Nothobranchius furzeri: one gene and its partners. Each later gene encodes a partner of the first gene's protein in a complex. Links are inferred from orthologs where the notes say so. Each region holds a gene or a part of one and is shown in the gene's direction. Other genes may lie near its edges. The genes, in order: bcas2, rbm22 and ctnnbl1.

Region 1 (3,756 bases):
CAAAAGATGTCTAGACTTATGGTGACTGACGGTTTAATTACTCTGGCAACGCAGGTGTCCATTTCCAGTAGAAGTATCTCGGGGAAGGTAAACAAGGGAAGAGGGTGCGTGTTTTGTGATGGTGTTTGCGCTCTAAACCTAGCTTGTACTGTAGATTCACTAAAGCAGCTTTAACTCATGGCCAACTTATCAATTTGTGAGTGTTCGAGAGCTCATCTATACTGAAAGGATCTCCTCTTAAAAGCCCAAAAGTAGTTAATTTTAGGTTTCATCATAGGGTTACTGATATTTCTTTTAAAGAATACTAACCAAATGTTTTATTTAATTAATTAAATCATCCCCCCCAAAAAATTAAAAAAAAAAACATCGTTCAGATAACCTGTGGAGATGATCAAATGAAAGAGGATGGGTTTCTCAAGTTTTCAGTCAATCAATCAATTGAATACTTTTTTTAAAAATCTCTGATTTTTGTTGGAATGTATTTCTTGCATTTGAAGTGGGTAAAAAGGCTGGTATTTTGTGCACACCAGCCAGACTTACCCCCTTTCTATTCTACACATTGGCATGGCTGTCCAGGCTAGAGATTCATATGAGCATCAGATCTCATGTACTCCAGATAGTATCAGTCTGCATCAGATAATTTCTGAGAAACTATCTGGTGTGGATGAGATATTATCTGGTGCCAATGTGATTTTGATTTAAAAAATGGAGCACACATATGGCTTGTGGTGGTGGCAGGGTCAGTGATCCAAATTCTTCAATTGTGTCTTCTACCAATCCACTTTTCTACATTAAAAAAATGGTCCAATGCTGTCATAGTCAGGTGACAAAACAGAAAATGGGAAATTACGTTAATGCTCGTTAAACACACGCGCGCGCGCGCGCATTTAAAAGAACCTTCTTGGAGCCTCTAAAACTAAGTCTATATTAAAATATTACAAGGAAATGTTGCGTCTTGGAATCGTGTTTTGAAGAAATTATGGGTGGTTTAAAACGTTTGCACAGTTTTATATGGGGTCTTGTACATAAGGTTTCAAGGAAAATTTACTAAAAATTAGGGTAGAGGGAAAACAGGTCACAGTTGGAGTTCAACTGTATTTTTATGCGCATCTTCGATGTGCATCTTCATCACGCACTGCCTTCGTCACATTCCTATCGAACACGGAACCGTAAGCATTATGTATGAGCACGGAAAAAAATGTAGGACATTTTATTTTGAAACTCTTCACCGGAAAAAGAACTTGGGTTCAGTTAGCTACTAGCCGCCGAGGAAGAAATAAATCAACAAATTAATCAGTAAATAGACTCATTAAAATGGCCGGGACAGCTTCAGTAGCGGGTGAAGTGTTTGTTGATGCTTTGCCGTATTTCGACCAAGGTTATGATGCGCCAGGTGTCAGAGAGGCGGTGAGTGAAATAAAAAATGTTTGCTATCAGAAGCGTGTTAGCCAACACGCTACATGGAAACTTTCATTAATCCTTAAAGTCGATGGCCTTTTAACTGTTAAATTAATATTACTTGTATAGACCAAACTAACGCGTTTATTTTTATATATAGCTGGTTAGTGTTTATTAGTGCGTAATAGACTGCTAGACGAAGAAACCAAAGAATCTCAACAAATGCACGAATTTTGTTAAAACAACATGAAACGAATATAAATTTTATATATTTGCATAATAGGTCGCAGAGACATTTTATGACATGTTTCCTTTCTTTAAATTTGGTTTATTTGGGTTCTAATGTGACTAATTATCCTTTGAGTTTGGCACGGGAAAAGATGCATAATTTGAGATTTTAACACCTAGAATCTTTCAGATTCAAACTGTGAACTTGTTGAATTGTATAGTTGATAATGCCACATTAAACCTTGTGAACAGTGATCAAATGGTTATCTGTATTTGCGTTTAGTAAATAAGGATGTAAACAACGTCATAGACAAGTACCATTTTAGGCATCTTTGGAGCTTTTATGTGGATGTTTTATAACTTCTTTTTGTACTTCTTGCTCCTTGTAAACCTAAAATCAGATTTAGTCTTCATATATTAGTTTATTTATGTATTTAATATTTGTCATCCTTTGTTATTACAAAATAGCGAATTAAGCTTGACAGGGCATTGCCGTAGAATAGTAATGAGAAAGTTGGTTTTAAAGCTGCAGAACCAAACATAAACCCTGTTTGATCCCTTAGGCAGCTGCATTGGTTGAGGAGGAGACAAGAAGGTACAGACCTACGAAGAACTACCTGAGCTACCTACCTACACCTGACTTCTCTGCTTTTGAGGTAAGAATCTAATTAGAAATGTGAGGTCTTCTTATGGACTTTCAGACTTTGACACAGAACTTACTGCACTTTGTTTTCACCCTTCCAGACAGAAATTATGAGAAACGAATTTGAGCGGTTAGCGGCACGTTCGCCTATGGATCTTTTGAGCATGAAAAGGTAAAAACTGCTCTGGTGGTAGTTGCCTTGCAAGATATATGTTTGCTTTGCAAATCATTTGCTCAGTATTTTAATAAATATGGACATTATGTTCTAATATCTTCCTGCCTGTGAAGATACGAGCTGCCAGCTCCAACTTCAGGACAGAAGAATGACATTACAGCGTGGCAAGAGTGTGTGAACAACTCCATGGCCCAGCTGGAGCACCAAGCAGTTCGCATTGAGAACCTGGAGCTCATGTCACAGTATGGAACAAATGCATGGAAAGTCTACAATGAGTGAGTTATGGCAGCTTTTATTTTTCAGAAATAGTACCATTGTTTTATTTGAAGACTGTTAATTATTTTTTTTGTTCTCCTTCCACAGTAATCTGGCTTTTCTGATTGAGATGGCTCAAAAGGAACTCCACAAATTCAGGTGAATTGCGATGCCTGGACATTGTTTGCTAATTTAAAGGGCTTTGAGAATTCATATTTAGAAGCTTAACAATTACTTTGGTTGACAGGAAGCAAATTCAAGATTTGAACTGGCAGCGTAAGAATGATCAGCTGGCAGCGGGGGCCAAACTACGCGAGCTGGAGTCTAAGTGTGTCTTCTGAACAACTTCCATGTCACTGTGTGGAGAGAACACGTTGTTTCCAGATGTCTTAACATCTGTGTTTTTGTTTGACAGTTGGGTGTCTCTGGTCAGTAAAAACTACGAGATCGAGAGAGCCATAGTCCAGCTGGAGAATGAAGTAGGTCAGCTCCGGCAACAGCAGGGAGACGAGAACAAGGAGAACATCTGTCAGGACTTCTGAAGAATCACGCAAACTCAAAACTAACGTTCCCTCAATCAGACACATTTTCTACAGATCTTTAAATCAACCACATGTTTAGGATTTTCCACTAAAAACATTGTTGGAATGTTTAAAATGAACTTTTATCAGAATCGTGTTTGCTCTAAGCAAAACTGTAGATTCCGATCTCATCTTATTTCAGGCTGAAAACGCAAACACACCTGTAATAGTTTTATTTTCTGTTTGCAGCGCTTTAGTGTTTGTTTTGTTTTGCAATTTTGTCATTTCAGACACAGCTGAGTTTTCAGTCCTAAGTTTTATGTTTGTGCTACTGATACCCTGGCAGTAGTTCCAATAGTTACTACACATAAGCCTCATAAATCTAGCTGTTTTTTAAGTTGCCTTTCAACAAAGTTTTTAGAATTGTAAATAATTTGTCAGATTTGAAGCCAAAATGAAAGGACTCCACATTAACTTACATTTATTATTTTCTAAAATGCTGTTTGTAACAAAATGAGCTTTTATAATAACTTCCA
Region 2 (3,656 bases), on another chromosome or scaffold:
TTTTTGGTGATTTTATGAATAACAAAGCTCCGCAAAAACGAACAGCCTTTAGTATAACAGCAGCATAACTCACAACACCAATGTGTACTGGATCAACCAGGGTCTCGGGTCAGTAGTGAGTAAGGCCATTATTGGCATGTTGTTGGTTGGTGTGACGTTTGTTCACTATGACATCACGTTTATCTACAGACACGAGAAGCCCACAGATCCCGATGACCCGCTGGCCGATCAGAACATTAAAGACCGTTACTACGGCATCAACGACCCAGTCGCTGACAAGCTGCTGAAGCGAGCCTCGACTATGCCCCGACTGGACCCCCCTGAGGACAAGTCCATCACCACCCTCTACATCGGGGGTCTGGGGGATAATGTCACCGACGGAGACCTGAAGTATAGATCCACTCAAATTTAATTTGTATATTTTTACCATTTTTACTTTACTAACCACATTCTGTTTGTGTGTTTTTGCAGGGGTCACTTCTATCAGTTTGGTGAGATTCGAACCATTACCATAGTCCAAAGGCAGCAGTGTGCCTTCATCCAGTTTGCCACTCGGCAGGCGGCTGAGATGGCTGCCGAAAAGTCCTTCAACAAACTAATCATTAATGGGCGGAGGCTGACTGTCAAGTGGGGGAGGTAAGATGCTGCCCAGCTCCACCTGGAGGGCGTGGGGTAATGTGCTTGTTAAATACCAGAGAGTGTGTTTGTAACAGCCTGAGGTGAACCCACCACCCTAACAGCTGTCACGTGACTCGTGTCAGCAGAGCATTTAAAACCTGATTATTACTCACACATTAGGAGTTTAACTACAGGGTGGGCCATTTATATGGATACACCTTAATAAAATGGGAATGGTTGATGAAATTAACGTCCTGTTTGTGGCACATGAGTATATGTGAGGGGGCCAACGTTTCAAGATGGGTGGTGACCGTGGTGGTCATTTTGAAGTTGGCCATCTTGGATTCAACTTTTGTATTTTCAATAGGAAGAGGGTCATGTGACACATCAAACCTATTGGGAATTTCACAAGAAAAACAATGGTGTGCATGGTTTTAACGTAACTTTATTTTTTCTTGAGTTATTTACAAGTTTCTGACCACTTATGAAATGTGCTGCCTATTGTGTTGGATTGTCAATGCAACCCTCTTCTCTCACTCTTCACACACTGATACCAACACCGCAGGAGAAATGCCAGCACAGGCATCTAGTATCTGTAGTTTCAGGTGCTGCACATCTCGTATCTTCACACCATAGACAATTGCTTTCAGATGACCCCAAAGATAAAAGTCTAAGGAGGTCAGATCGGGAGATCTTGGGGCCATTCAACTGGCCCACAACAACCAATCCACTTTCCAGGAAACTGTTCATCTAGGAATGCTCGGACCTGACACCCATAATGTGGTGGTGCACCATCTTGCTGGAAAAACTCAGGGAACGTGCCAGCTTCAGTGCATAAAGAGGGAAACACATCATCATGTAGCAATTTCAAATATCCAGTGGCCTTGAGGTTTCCGTTGATGAAGAATGGCCTCACTATCTTTGTACCCCGTATACCACACTATACCATCACTTTTTTGTTCCAACAGTCTTGGAGGGACCTATCCAATGTGGGTTAGTGTCAGACCAATAGCGGTGGATTTGTCTGTTAACTTCACCATTCATGTAAAGGTTTGCCTCATCACTGAACAAAATCTTCTGCTTGAACTGAGGGTCCTCTTCCAATTTTTGTTTTGCCCATTCTGCTAATTCTGTGCCCTGATCTGGGTCATCCTCGTTGAGATGCTGCAGTAGCTGGAGTTTGTAAGGGTGCCGTTTGTGAGTAGATGATATCCGCTGAAGGGATGTTCGACTAATGCCACTCTCCAGTGACATGCGACGAGTGCTACGCTGTGGGCTCTTGCTGAGTGAAGCTAGGACAGCCACATATATTTCTTCATTATTGACCGTTTTCATGCATCCACATTTTGGCAAAGCCAACACTGAACCAGTTTCACGAAACTTAGCAAGCAGTTTGCTAACTGTAGCATGGGGGGATGAGTGGTCTCGTAGGGTGTCTTGCATTGAAATCTGCTGCAATGACCCGGTTACCGCGTTCACAGATATCAACACAATTTCGATCCGCTCCTCACCTGTTAACCTCTTCGACATGTCAATGGCTGTGAACAAATAGAAACTTGTGAATAACTCATGAAAGAATAAAGTTACGTTCAAAGCAAGCACACCATTGTTTTTCATGTGAAATTCCCAATAAGTTTTATGTGTCACATGACCCTCTTCCTATTAAAAAAAACAAAGTTGGCCGACTTCAAAATGGCCACCATGGTCACCACCCATCTTGAAAAGTTTGCCCCTCAAATATACTAACGTGCCACAAACAGGATGTTAATATCACCAACCATTCCCATGTTATTAAGGTGTATCCATATAAGTGGCCCACCCTGTACAGTAAAGAATACAACTCTTCTGTTTTTAAGCTGTACACATTTTTGTTAGCTAGTGAGCTGATGTCAAAAGAAAGGTGGTTTGTTGTTTTAGGTCTCAGGCAGCAAGAGGCAAAGATGGTAAGGATGGAATCAGTGAGATGGGAATCAGACTGGATCCTGTACCTGGGCTTCCTGGAGGTGAGTCTGGAGTTTGAGTGCACATACACACACGGACAAAATAGTTGGTACCCTTTGGTCAATGAAAGAAAAACCCACAATGGTTACAGAAATAACAACAAAAGGAATAATTAATACAAATTCTATGAGAATAACCAATGAAAGTCAGACATTTCTTTTTAACCATACTTCAACTGAATTATTTATATAATAAAATAAACTCATGGAACAGGCCTGGACAAAAATGATGGTACCCCCAACTTAATATTTTGTTTCACAATATTTTGCGGCAGTCACTGTTATTAAACGATTCCTGTATATGTCAGTGAGACTTCTGCACCTGTCAGCAGGTATTTTGGCCCACTCTTCATGAGCAAACTGCTCCAGGTCTCTCGGGTTTGAAGGACGCCTTTTCCAGGCGGCATGTTTCAGCTCCTTCCAAATATGTTCACCAGGATTGAGGTCAGGACTCATAGAAGGCCACTTTAGAATAGTCCATTGTTTTCCTCTTAGCCATTCTTGGGTGTTATTATCTGTGTGTTTTGGGTCGTTGTCCTGTTGCAAGATCCATGACCTCCGACTGAGACCAAGCTTTCGACCTCCGACTGAGACCAAGCTTTCCGACACAGGCCAGGGGTCTCATTTATCAAACATTGCGTAGCATCCTTACTAAAACCGTACTTAAGCTCAGCAAAAAAAAAGTACTTACACCAAGTAGGTTTGTGATCTATCAAACATGGAGTACGCACAGCTGCACACAATCTCCGCTTCGTAAATCAGAAACTATCTAGAAAATTTCTCAGCTGTTTTTTAGTCACATCCCGCCCTCACCACACCCACTTACTGCCATAAATAGTCAATGCAAAGTGCCTTGTCGATCTCATGCATATACATAAGGCTGTTGCTGCATTGCTCCGCCAATGACGATGGCGACCGTAGATCAAGGCAGATCAAGGAAGCGAAATTTCACAGAAGCAGAAATTGAGGTACCGTATTTTCACGACCATAAGGCGCACCTAAAAGTCTTAAATTTTCTCCAAAATGTACGCCGCGCCC
Region 3 (3,656 bases), about 140 kb from region 1:
AGAGAATCAAGGTAAGACCCAGGACTCGTGAAATGAATACCAGCTAATAAGATGATATCTCTGAGTACATAAAACTTCTGGTATGTTCTCAGTCATGCCGGGTTTGATGATTTGTTTTTTTCTGTTTAACTGCTGTACTTGTATAGGATAAATGTTTATTCTGAGATTTTGTGACAGGGATGTTATAGAGCAAACCTTATAACTACTGTAGGTTTGTCTGTAACAAAAACAAAAATCTAGTTTCATATTTATCTAAAAAAAAAACGTCTGGTTTAGTTTGGAATCACACCATCTGCGGGAATTAATTTCTGTGTTTTCCCTCTTTTGGGTTGTTTTGAATAAAATAAATGAGGTTATAAATATGTTCAGAAATGATGTGCAGTATTATACACTGTGTGAGACAGAATCTGCATAAAGCAGGTCTCTGCTTGAGGTTAGAAAATGCAGATTTTCCTGTAGAATACATAGTGATTTTGTAATCCTCTGGAGAACAGAGTTTCTCAAGAGGAGTGGTAATTAGACTTCGCTCTCCTTCCCTCTCAGGCAAAGATGCCGTTTGATGCTAACAAGCTGTACTGCAGTGAAATTCTAGCCATTCTGCTGCAAAATAATGACAGTAAGTGTATCTCAGTAAATTGTTGACGTGTTCTAAATTATTTATTTATCTTCCATCTTTTTTCCGCCTGTTCACCCTAAATTGACTTCAACCCTCCATTCTGTCTTAGTTACATTTCTCTCATTGAACTTGTTAAAATATTTTCCTTGTCGTCCTCTCCCTCTCTAAAATGTTCCTCCTTTTTAAGTTACTTTCCACGCCATCTCTGTTGGTTTATGTGCAGTCGTCTTCATCCTTTCCCTCCCTCACAAAAAAGAAAGGCAGTAAAATCAGAGCCACAGGACGACCAGGGCCTTGGGCTAGTTCTCATTAATGGTACAAATCACATTGGTATGCAGCTGAAGTCATTTCTCATTTCGCACCTATTTCCCCACTCTTCTCTTGTGCTGCCTCCATTATAACTCTCTCTCTCTTTTGCATTTCAAAATGAAAAATTTATACAAAACTATGTTTTGCCAAAACAAGGACACATGCTGTCTTGAGTACTATCCTGTTTAATATATATATATATATATATATATATATATATATATATATATATATATATATATATATATATATATATAGCCACATAAAATGGGAAATTATAACAACATAGGCAACATTCCTGATGTCCTAATTTGCATCTACTTATTTTTATTAGACTTCAATAAAAACAAAAATCTAAAAGATATCATATAAAACAGCAGAGGCGTTAGTGTGGAAGCTCCCGATGCCTTTAAATTGTCCCATCTTATTTCCTTAGTCATTATTTTGTTAAAGTAATTGATTTAGGTTTAGCACAAATCATTTTTGTTTAAATGCTCATTTTTATAATCGGAATCTTGTGAACTCATTTCTGCCTCCTTTTCATTCACCTTGTTGTCTTTTTATTTTCTCTTTCTTTACAGGTACCAGAGAACTGCTGGGTGAAATGGATGGTATTGATGTGCTACTGCAGCAGTTATCTGTAAGAACTTTTATTTTTTTCTCTCACTTGTATTCAAACTAGGGATGCTCGATATTTTCTTTTTGTTTTTTTTACCAATATCAGACACACCGATATTGTCTGACTCTTAATTTCCAATACCAATTTAAACATACTGATTAATTTTATGCCCCTCCCTCATAAAAAAGAAAAACTGAAATATTTTAGGTTACTAACACATCACATATCTCCCATTAGTCGTTTGTTAGCCGTCTAGCTACACATTGCCAGGTGCAGGACGGTGTACGTTCACCACACAGGGCAAATTTCTACTTCTCAAATTGTGTCAAAAAAACTAAAATATGTCAATAACCTTACCTCAGATCTGTCATATTTTAACATTTTGAGAGAGAGAATAAGTAGCTGAAGAATTTGATGTATATTATGTGGATGTTATTAACTCATTCACCGCCAATGACGACTAAAGTCACCATTTGCATTTATTTACTGTGTGGGCGTCGGAACGAGCCCCCGCACCATGAGAACGAACATCTCAGCTCTAAAGCTGATCTTCATTCGCGTACATCACACGTCATGTGATCAGGAAGCAGAAAATCCATGTGTTAGGAGATCGTTTTCGGACGTTGCTGTAAAAAAAGTGAGGCGCGAACCGGAAAAGCTTCTGCCGATCACAATTCAACAACGGATTATGAAAGAACGGATAACGCTCGAAACGCGTGGATTCTTCCTGATGTAAGAAGTGAGTCTCCTCTTTGTTTTGGTAGTTTTCGCATTGACATCATCCTAGCGCGCAACGTTATGTGACTCTTAAAAAAACTGTGAAAATGCTGAAAACCGCTGGCAGCGAAAGGCTTTTCTGATCAGGAAACGGCTGGCAGTTAACGAGTTAAAAGGTTGGGTCAAAACCGATACCAATATTGTCCGGTATTACATTTTTTATGCCAATATCTGTCGATATTAATAATAAACCAATAATATTGCACATCCGTGGTTCAAACATTTAACTTATTTCTAAGCTCTAAACACGCCCGGCGCCTGTTCTCCTGCAACGCATTTTGTCTAACGTGAAGCTGTGCAAGCAACCCCACCACTGATGAATGTTTGGTTTAGTGTGGCTTTTATTTGGAATTAGCTTTATTTCATAATTAGATGCTAAATTAGTAGACAAAGGTATAATCCTTCATGTCATCTTTTTTCTAAGTGCTTCCCACTCCTTGTCCTTTTCTCTCAGGTGTTCAAACGTCACAATCCGAACACGGCTGAGGAGCAGGAGATGATGGAAAATCTGTTTGATGCTCTGTGTTCCTGCCTCATGCTGCCCTCTAATCGGGATCGCTTCCTCAAAGGAGAAGGGCTTCAGCTAATGAATCTCATGCTCAGGTAAAGGTTTAATCTACAAGAAATCCCATGAGTGGGATGCACTACAGACTTCCTAAACCGTAAATCATCCCGCAGCTTGCCAGGGATCCCATCCCTCATATCCGTAAAGGTAAAGGTTTCCCAGATCAGGCTTTCAGCTGTTGTTTCATATTTTTCAGGACTTCTATAAATTGACAGACTTTAAATGTATATTACACGCTTCTATCTGAAGCAGATATCACTCTAAATACCAGAATGTTATTTGACCTTTTCTCTTTGTCGCAGCTTTAGGATTTTTACATTTCCCAAAGCACTTTACAATAAAAGGTTTACACCAACAGTTCAGCGTTTTGGAGGACCACCTGAAACCAAAATGATTAATATGCTTATGCTACTATAAGTGCAACAATAATAACAGTAATACACAGTTAAAGGTTGACTATGGAACACAAACACTCTGGTGTTCAGAGAACAAATTTTCCAGTTGCTGGGATGTTGGTTCACTGCTGACCCGTTCCAGCACTATGTTCAGAGACAAATTGTACAGGATAAGGACAAATTTCTACTAATAACTTTATTTTACAACAAAATTTACCATTGGAACATCTTCTGGGCTCAAAATCAGCTGCTTGTCAAGTCTGCCATTTTACACAGTCCCAACCTTGCATTGCTGAGTGGACGTTTTAGCGCAACAGTGCCCTCTAATGGCTGGTAGATGTAAACATAAACACAGTGTCGTGCCTGTAGGGTTGT

The links.
Region 2: bcas2 (region 1) and rbm22 share a complex: the UniProt entries of both Homo sapiens proteins name them as parts of the postcatalytic spliceosome P complex. The link is inferred for Nothobranchius furzeri from reciprocal best matches to the Homo sapiens genes BCAS2 and RBM22.
Region 3: bcas2 (region 1) and ctnnbl1 share a complex: the UniProt entries of both Homo sapiens proteins name them as parts of the PRP19-CDC5L splicing complex. The link is inferred for Nothobranchius furzeri from reciprocal best matches to the Homo sapiens genes BCAS2 and CTNNBL1.

Annotation. Positions count from the first base shown.
Region 1 is NC_091755.1:51,937,831-51,941,586, forward strand, and holds bcas2 (pre-mRNA-splicing factor SPF27), read left to right. Parts: upstream 1-1,203; 5' UTR 1,204-1,314; coding exon 1,315-1,407; intron 1,408-2,189; coding exon 2,190-2,282; intron 2,283-2,370; coding exon 2,371-2,441; intron 2,442-2,557; coding exon 2,558-2,719; intron 2,720-2,807; coding exon 2,808-2,858; intron 2,859-2,946; coding exon 2,947-3,027; intron 3,028-3,114; coding exon 3,115-3,241; 3' UTR 3,242-3,750; downstream 3,751-3,756. UniProt on the Homo sapiens protein: Required for pre-mRNA splicing as component of the activated spliceosome. Component of the PRP19-CDC5L complex that forms an integral part of the spliceosome and is required for activating pre-mRNA splicing.
Region 2 is NC_091741.1:95,926,511-95,930,166, reverse strand, and holds part of rbm22 (pre-mRNA-splicing factor RBM22), read left to right. Parts: intron 1-189; coding exon 190-390; intron 391-471; coding exon 472-636; intron 637-2,535; coding exon 2,536-2,621; intron 2,622-3,656. UniProt on the Homo sapiens protein: Required for pre-mRNA splicing as component of the activated spliceosome. Involved in the first step of pre-mRNA splicing.
Region 3 is NC_091755.1:51,796,181-51,799,836, reverse strand, and holds part of ctnnbl1 (beta-catenin-like protein 1), read left to right. Parts: coding exon 1-11; intron 12-543; coding exon 544-616; intron 617-1,506; coding exon 1,507-1,565; intron 1,566-2,775; coding exon 2,776-2,924; intron 2,925-3,656. UniProt on the Homo sapiens protein: Component of the PRP19-CDC5L complex that forms an integral part of the spliceosome and is required for activating pre-mRNA splicing.